Linked DNA regions of Mus musculus. The protein of the gene in region 2 purifies or fractionates together with the protein of the main gene of each other region. This does not show direct contact. Links are inferred from orthologs where the notes say so. Each region holds a gene or a part of one and is shown on either strand. Other genes may lie near its edges.

What was found.
Region 1: the proteins of Retreg3 (region 2) and Reep4 purify together in Homo sapiens (affinity purification with mass spectrometry; 3 studies listed by BioGRID and IntAct, with this or other methods). This does not show direct contact. The link is inferred for Mus musculus from reciprocal best matches to the Homo sapiens genes RETREG3 and REEP4.

The regions. Positions count from the first base shown.
Region 1 is NC_000080.6:70,543,880-70,548,052, forward strand, and holds the start of Reep4 (receptor expression-enhancing protein 4 precursor), read left to right. Parts: upstream 1-1,371; 5' UTR 1,372-1,827; coding exon 1,828-1,859; intron 1,860-2,597; coding exon 2,598-2,670; intron 2,671-3,050; coding exon 3,051-3,127; coding exon of another isoform or gene 3,128-3,235; coding exon 3,236-3,356; intron 3,357-3,787; coding exon 3,788-3,901; intron 3,902-4,060; coding exon 4,061-4,173. UniProt on the Homo sapiens protein: Microtubule-binding protein required to ensure proper cell division and nuclear envelope reassembly by sequestering the endoplasmic reticulum away from chromosomes during mitosis.
Region 2 is NC_000077.6:101,117,042-101,121,051, reverse strand, and holds the start of Retreg3 (reticulophagy regulator 3), read left to right. Parts: upstream 1-1,210; 5' UTR 1,211-1,272; coding exon 1,273-1,511; intron 1,512-3,751; exon of another isoform or gene 3,752-3,866; intron 3,867-4,010. Other genes in the region: Tubg1 (tubulin gamma-1 chain), read right to left, coding at 54-221, 393-505, 810-858. UniProt on the Homo sapiens protein: Endoplasmic reticulum (ER)-anchored autophagy regulator which exists in an inactive state under basal conditions but is activated following cellular stress.

The DNA of each region.
Region 1 (4,173 bases), on a different chromosome or scaffold from region 2:
GGGGTGGTGGATGCCTCCACAGAAACAATCTTTTCCAGACCAAATGGGCAGATGCACACATGAATTCAGAGACTGTGGCAGCGTACACTCGCCCTGCATAAGCTCAAGCCAGACACAAAGACCAGCACAGAGGAGGGGAAGTGGGCACAAAGTCTCTCTCATCCCTAGCCATGAAGCTATTCGAAACTGATATCTGCTGGAAAAGGGAAAGTTAGTCTTCTCCAATGGAGCTGCACTGGGTATATTAACTATACTCCAGGGTAGGTCCCATGCTCAGGAGTAGTTGGCCATCACAAATCAGACTCCATGGTTCTGTTTGGTTTTTGGGGTGTGTGTGTATGTGCGCGCACTTGAAAGGCATAGGCAGGTAGATCTCTGAATTCAAGGCCAGCCTGATCTACAGATAGAGTTCCAGGACAGCCAGGGGTACAAAGAGAAACAATGTCTCAAAAAAAACCAAAAACAAAAACCCTACGATGATGATGATGATGAAGAAACTAAGGTACTAACGATGATGACGATGACAGTAATGATATATCTAAGTTTGTCAAATGTTATAGATAGCCAGTGTGGCCAATCTAATAAGAAGACGCTTCAACAATTCCATCATTTCGCACAACAACAACAAGAAGCACAAAACAGCAAGTGTTGATTTTAGAATTTTCTGGGATATCTCTATTCCTGTCTCAGAAACAGGTGGGTTTTCAAAATTCTAGGAAAGAAGATCCGGGGTGAACCCGGATCATCACTCAGTCTCTAAGACACTGGGGTCAGAATGCCCAGGTATATGGATCGTGGAAAGATGCTTTAGAAACAAGTGGAGTCCTGAAGCTGTCAGAAGGGTGATTCTCCAATCCCACTCTTCCCTCCTTTCTAGCATGGTCAGTCAGCTGGACTTCTGCGAAGGTAAGATCAGATCAGAACGTGCTTCCTGTGGGCCAACCACTCATTTCATTCTCTATCCCATTTTACAGAGATGGAGAAATGATAAAAAGGCATCCGAGGAACACTCTCGAGTTGTCTTTTATTTCCTCTCCTTTCCTTTTGTTTGTTTGCAACAGTGTATTGATGATACACCTGTAATCCAGCCTCACTGATAATTCTCCTGTCTCCACCTCAGAGACTCCTGTGCGCCACCCACACCTAGCTAGCAGTTCGGGGTTTTTTTGTTTTGTTTTGTTTTGTTTTGTTTTTTGTTTTGTTTTTTTCCTCCCTATCTGTCCACCTGCCAACCTTTCAGAAGACTATTCGACCGGCGGCCCCACCTCCGAAGTGCGCCGAGCATCGCCGCTTTAAGAGACGGTCCTTTTGTCTCCCTGACCTCGTCCCGCCCCTCTGAGGGCTCCATTGCGCCTGCGCCTGGAGCTTGAGCGCTGGGGTTGGGCAGGATCTGGTTCCGTGCAACTTTTAAGTGAGTTACAAACTCCGCCCCGAGACCGGTGCAGGTGGTCGGGCGCTCTGCCACCCGGGCGGCAGGTGAGAGCTGAGGTCCGGCCTGCCACCCGGACCCGAGACCAGCAGCGCCGCCCTCGACGGGGGACGAACGGTTCTCCGCGGCAGGAATTGTGGGACTGAGCCGCCAGGATTCGGCGAGGCGGAGGGACGCGCCCTCCCGCCTCGATCACAAGGCGGCTTCCTCTGCTAGGCCCTCGGTCCCCTGGTTCCGGGTTCTCCTGGCTCCCCGCACTGCGGGGTCGAAGTCAGGGGTGGTGATCTCCGCCTACACCGAGGGAGAGGTGTACTGCAGCACCACTCACCCCCTTGTCCCAGCTCCTGAGTGAGCGTCCCTCCGCTTGTCTCTTGGGGTCATCCCCCTAGGCTGTCAGGATGGTGTCCTGGATGATCTGTCGCCTGGTAGTGTGAGTATGGTCACTGTGAGACACCTCCCCCCTCCCTTTTGTCCCAGGATGCCAACCTGCCTTTGGGTGGAAACTGGGGACGTTTGTAAAGAAGGGAAAATTTAAAGACTTCATGACCCCGTTTCCCAGCACACACTTAACGGTCCTGGGGGTCTGAAGTGGGACCTGGTCACTGCATACCTTGTTTCCACCCTGCAGCCTTCTGGTCTGACAGAGACCCTTCCTGCAGACAGGTGCTGCTAGGGCTCAGGGCTTTTACCACCTACAGTCCTGTGAGAAGGTGATTAGGTACTGCTGTGGGCGGAGAATCTAGGTGCCTCCTTCCCATCTGAGCAGCCACATGACCCACCACCCTAGCTTCAGCTTCTGCAGCCTGCACCTCACTTTTGGATATCCCAATACCTGGCTCAAATGTCCCTCACTGCATGCTGGTGGTCCTGGGCCTGATTACGTGTAGTGGGAGCGGACAGCCTAGTGTTCTCACCCACCTTGTGTGTTCTCAGTCTGTCCTGTACCCATGGGCCACCAGCGCAGGCCTAGGCAGGCTTGGTATGTTTGTAAACAGCCGGGTGGGGAGGCAGCCTCCGGGGCACTGACTCAGGCACCCAGGGTTGTGCAAGCCAAGCGGGAAAAACAGGGCAGGCACTGCCATCTCGCACCCAGGTCAGGGGGAGCAGCCACCTGGCAGGGAGAGGGTGGGGCATGGTCCCCTCACACTTCCTGTGACTGCTGTTCCAGGCTCATATTTGGCATGCTGTATCCTGCGTATGCTTCCTACAAGGCCGTGAAGAGCAAGAACATTCGAGAATATGTGAGTGCAAAGAGTGGGGTAGACGACAACATTGAGGAATGGTCAGGGAGGTGGTAGGACTTGGTGATGCTGGAGGGCCTGGCCTGTCAGACTCCAGGGGCTCGATCGATGGTGGAACAGATCTCAAGTAGAGTGGTCTAGTGGAAGGAAGGCCAGCCATTATTAACAATAGCCATGGAGGATCTCGTGGGCGAAGCATGCTGGGGGGGGGGGCACTGGAACGGAAGGCAGTTTCTCAGGGGCTCCTGTCTAAGCAGATGTGGGAAACTGTAGCCAGCAATGCAGTGGGACTGGCTTTGAGGAATCTCTGGGTTGGGCAGGCTGGGGGCGGGTCCTGGCGGCTTAGGCTCGTGAGCTGAGCTCTGCACTCTGACCCACAGGTACGGTGGATGATGTATTGGATTGTCTTTGCGATCTTCATGGCAGCAGAAACCTTCACAGACATCTTCATTTCCTGGTCCGGCCCAAGGATTGGCAGGCCATGGGGTTGGGAAGGGCCTCACCACCACCACCACCACCACCTGGCCTCTGGCTCACACAAACCCCTCCCCTTGCTTACACACAGGTTCCCGTTTTATTACGAGTTCAAGATGGCTTTTGTGCTGTGGCTGCTCTCACCTTACACCAAGGGGGCCAGCCTGCTTTACCGAAAGTTTGTCCACCCATCCCTATCCCGCCATGAGAAGGTACCTCTGAGGGAGATAGAGCAGAAACAGGAGGGTGTGTCAGGGCAGTGTGTCAGAGCGAAAGCCCTGTATCTCAGGTTCAGGCAGCCAGAGGTGCCTGGGTCTTATTCCCTGTCCCTCTATAGTTTTGCTGTGGGACTGTGAAAGGGGTTGGCTTTCCCCATCCACCTGGATGATACATATGGACGACCTTTAGGGTTATGACAAGCCAGCAGGAAGTTGACGTGGGCATGGAAGAATGGAAGGGACACCCACTAAGTTGTGGAGAGGGTGTGTAGTTGGGGAGTCCTGCTTTCAGTTGTTCTGAACCTAAATCTGTGGCTCCTGGGTCCTGGGTAGGGCTCATGGGATTATGACAACCAGTGGCTTCTTGGGGTCTGCAAAGACGGTGGTTCTTTCGTTGATCTGAGCTCTCCGCCCTGGGTCTGCAGGAGATCGACGCGTGTATCGTGCAGGCAAAGGAGCGCAGCTATGAAACCATGCTCAGTTTTGGGAAGCGGAGCCTCAACATCGCTGCCTCAGCTGCTGTGCAGGCTGCTACCAAGGTGCCGTGGGCCCCGGTGATCACAGCGCCTCCCCCGCTCCCAGATCAGTTCTGAATCTTGTGCCCCAGAGATTAGCTGAAGGGCAGCTTCCCCGTTACAGCCCTTCCCCTCGCAGCCCTCCTCTGGAGTTAACAGCGGCTCCCATCCCTCACCTCCTAGAGTCAAGGCGCTCTAGCTGGAAGGCTGCGGAGTTTCTCTATGCAAGACCTGCGCTCTATCCCTGACACCCCTGTCCCCACCTACCAAGATCCCCTCTACCTGGAAGACCAGGT
Region 2 (4,010 bases):
GGGCCTGTGCCCACCCACAGAGTTGAGAGCCCTTCAGGGGAACAGCAAATGACCTGGGAGAATCCGCTGGCCCAGTTGTTGCCAGCTCCTCCGCCATGCTCCGACAGGTAGATGTTCTCTGGGTTGTAGAGCTTAGCATAGGAGGAGTTTAGGATGGAATGGATCACCCGGGGCTCCAGGTCCAGCAGCACAGCCCGGGGGATGTAGTGCTCATCATCTGCCTGTCAGAGGGAAGCCAGGATGGGTCAAGTCCTGAAGCCTCCCAACTCTGGCTCCTGCAGGCTCTCCCTCAAGATAGCCACTCTGTTCCCATCCATCCACTCAGAGTTTCCCAGCACCAGATCGCGCTGCCAGTCCCGCCAGGGTCCTGGTCAAGTCACTTGGGGGAGCACCTGGTAGAAAAAGACGTCCTTTCGGTCAGTGCCCTCCGTGGCGAACTCTTCTACGATGCCCTCGGGACTGATGCCATGCTCGGCACATAGCTGTTTCCAGAACTCGAACCCAACTAAGAGAGGGAGGCGGAAGGTGAAGAAAAAAGATACGTGAGTCTGGGTAGGTTCCAAATAGCCAGTGGGGGATTTGAACGCCTGGGTCTAGGGATCTAGATTAGCCTTGGGACTCCCTAGTGTCTAGGCCAATGACTGGACAGGGGAAGGTCCATTGGCTTTAGGCAGTTGGGCACAGGGTTGGGAATCGCCTTTGTGGGGGAGAACTAGGATTCTGCAGACAGACCGAAGCTATGACCTTATTGCGAGGGCCTCTTGCACCTAAGGAACCTGGGAGGCAGAGGGTCTGGGAGGTTCGCTCACTCTGATTGCCGCACTGGCCCAACTGTAGGGTGATGATTTCTCTCGGCATCGCTCCTCAGACATCGGCGTTGCAGTCTCTCCCGCCAGCAACACCGCCGACCGCTAGCGCGCTCGCCGGCAAGACGCAGGCGCCAGACAATGCGCTCCACCCCTAATCGTTCTCCGCTCCAATGGGAGCTGGGTTCTGCAGATGAAATTTCCTCCTTCATCGGGCTTCAGTCGTGCGAGTTGCGCGTGCGCGGCTCCGAATCGCGCTCAGCGCCGGGAACGCATTTCGACGCAGTGTTCTCTTCCGTCTGATGAATGCGCACCGGAGCGTCTGCGCATGCGCGCGTGGGCGTTCCGGCACTTGCCCCGCCCCGCCCCTTCTCCGCCCGGCCGCAGCCAAATCGTGCTTCTGCGCAGTCGGTGTTATTGTGACTCCCGGGCCGTGGCCCCGGATGTTGTGGCTGCTGAAGGGGAGATGGAGGAGGCTGAAGGGGTGGCCGCGGCCCCGGGTCCAGCTTCGGGGTTGGCTTTCAGGGGCCGCCGAGCTATGTCCGGCTCCTGGGAGCGCGACCAGCAGGTTGAGGCGGCGCAGCGGACCCTGGTGGAGGTGCTGGGCCCTTACGAGCCTCTGCTGAGCCGGGTGCAGGCAGCCCTGGTGTGGGAGCGGCCGGCCAGGAGCGCCCTGTGGTGCCTGGGGCTGAACGCGGCGTTCTGGTGAGACACCCGGACCCTCACTGACCCTACTAGGCGGGAATTCCTCAGGTTGTTCTGGGGGGGGGGGTGTCGATCTCTCACCTGCCCTGTCCTGCCTTCTTTCGTCGCCCTGGCTGCTTCTGATACTTGCCTGATAATGCTTCACTTTCCCCAGCATCCCGCCTGCCTCCAGGCTTTGGCACCCCGGGTGCTCGCAGGGCCTTCCTGGTCTTCTCCACTTGCCCCCACGACTCGCCAGAGAATCTGGTACCATCCCGTGTCGCTCGCAGTAAGCCGGGGTGCCTCTTGTTAGCGAGAGAAAGTGATTTCACTTCGAGACCATTTCCTCCGTTTCTCTTGCTTGCCCCAGGGTGGTGGTTCCGAGAGGTTTTAACTTAACGATGATGGGAGGAGAGGCAGAAGGGTATCCCTGGGTGTGAGGAGGAAAACAAGCTTGAGCCGGTTATCATGGATTATTAGCATGTTAGATACCGTCTCACCCAGTCAAGTTGGTGAAGTTTGTGTGGAGTTTCAGCTTGAAAGAAAAGTAGATGTATTAAGAAGGAAAAAATTAAAAAACAGTGGTGATCTTTCATCTGTTTCAGAGCCACTTAGGATTGCAACGCTTCCCCCCAAAAATTAGACCTTAGCTGTGGTTCAAGGAGTTTGAGGCTGTCTGAGAGCCGTTGAGTTCTCTTTCACTGGACAAGTGGCTTTATATTAAAGTGTGTGTTTCATTCTCTGGAAAAAATGAGAGCACCTAGGAGGAGTTTGGGCTTCATCGAGTCTACCAACCATGGTTTGGGTTTATTAATAACCATAGTACTGATCAAATTCCAAGGGAACTGACATATCACTGAGGCTTCTACAACCAGAAGAGATGAGACTCTTTGAATAAGCCTGTGTGTGTGTATGTGTATAGGGGTGTGGTCCTGAGATGGGGTGGTCGTGAGGAGTTGTGGGTACTTGTAGAGGCTAGAAGCATCAGATCCCCCTGGAGCTGGAGATAGGTGGGGGTTGCTGGGAACTGAACTTCTCTGGGAGAGCAGTATGTGCTCTTAGCCACCGAACCATCTCTCTAGCTCTGGAACACATTTCAAAGCTGCAACAGATTTGCTGGTCCTCAACAGTGTATTCTTTTTTGGCTCCAAATATCCTCTCCACAGAGCAGGCCTTGAACTTCTGACCTTCCTGCTCCCAGCTCCCGAGGATTGGGGCTATTGACACTGGCCACCATGCTGTACCATAGTGTTTACTTAGGCTAAGTCTGCGTTTAGAATCTTTCTCAGAACCCCTCTTGTGCTAAGTTGTGACTGATCCCTATCTCTGGCATTTCCGGGTAGTATGCCTGCTGTGTAGCCACAATGCAGGAGGTGGGGGAGAGATCCACCAAAGTGAGTGTGGCCTAAGACTTAAAAAACAATTGAGCTTGTCATTTATAGAGGGGACTCATACCTTGGGAGGGGTACAGATAGTATTAAAGTCCAAGCGGGTTAAAGTAGTCAGACATTGGCACTTATAGAATTGTTTTGGGAGAATGAATTTCTTTGAGGGCTAAACACAGTTCACTCCTCAGTAGTGTCTTTGTGAGTGTTGTCATTTCACTTAGTAGAGTAAAGAATGACTAGATTTTCAACGAATTGAAGAAGTATCACTAAGTTAGGTCAGAAACAACAAATCTGAAGTACTTCTTATATTATTTATTAGGAATAATGACGTTATCAAAAGCTGAGGTGCTTTTGATGAGTCAGAAGATTAGCTTGATACTACAAAGTTGTCACCTGAGTGCTGGAGTCCACCTTAGCGTAGTAGAGCCTACCTCCAAACCTGATGCCCTGATCCAGCTTCTGTAAGCTGTCACCTGACTTACACACACACACACACTCCCCCCCCCTCTGTCTCTCTCTCTCTCTCTCTCTCTCTCTCTCTCTGAAAGAATTTTTTTTTTCCCAAGTCCTCCAAATTCAGGGCACATAGTGTGTTTAGTGATGTACATTCCTTCTCTGGTGTAGTTTTCCCTGTACCTGTGACTATGCCCTCTTACTTTCTAAACACAGGAGGTTCATAAAAGAATTCCATGTGGTAGGGTGCCACCATGTATTTCCAGGGTGTCCCCTCCCAGGTACCAGAGAAATCAGGGTGACCCTGTCCAAAATCTTGTAACCCACATCGCTTCTAGCCCCTGCTCTGTTGCTGTCTTTAGAATAATAATGGCTTCCCTCTAAAAGCCGACTTTTTCATTAATCTCACCCCATCTGCAGATGAGTGACCCACAGGGAGACCATGAAAGTCGGCAGGAGGGCATCATGGCAGGACCAGAAAAGGACAGGTTCCAGGAACTTCGATTGGACTGATAGGAGATGGGGGAGCACGAGGGTAAAGCCCCGCTGGCCCTAACTTGATGAACAGCACAGAGCTCACAGGGGGCTATAGACTGGAGCTCCTTGTCCCTGTGATTCCAGGTGGCCTTTGGGGACATGAGCGTAACTCGCAGCTGATGCCCTGTTACCTCTTGGGAAC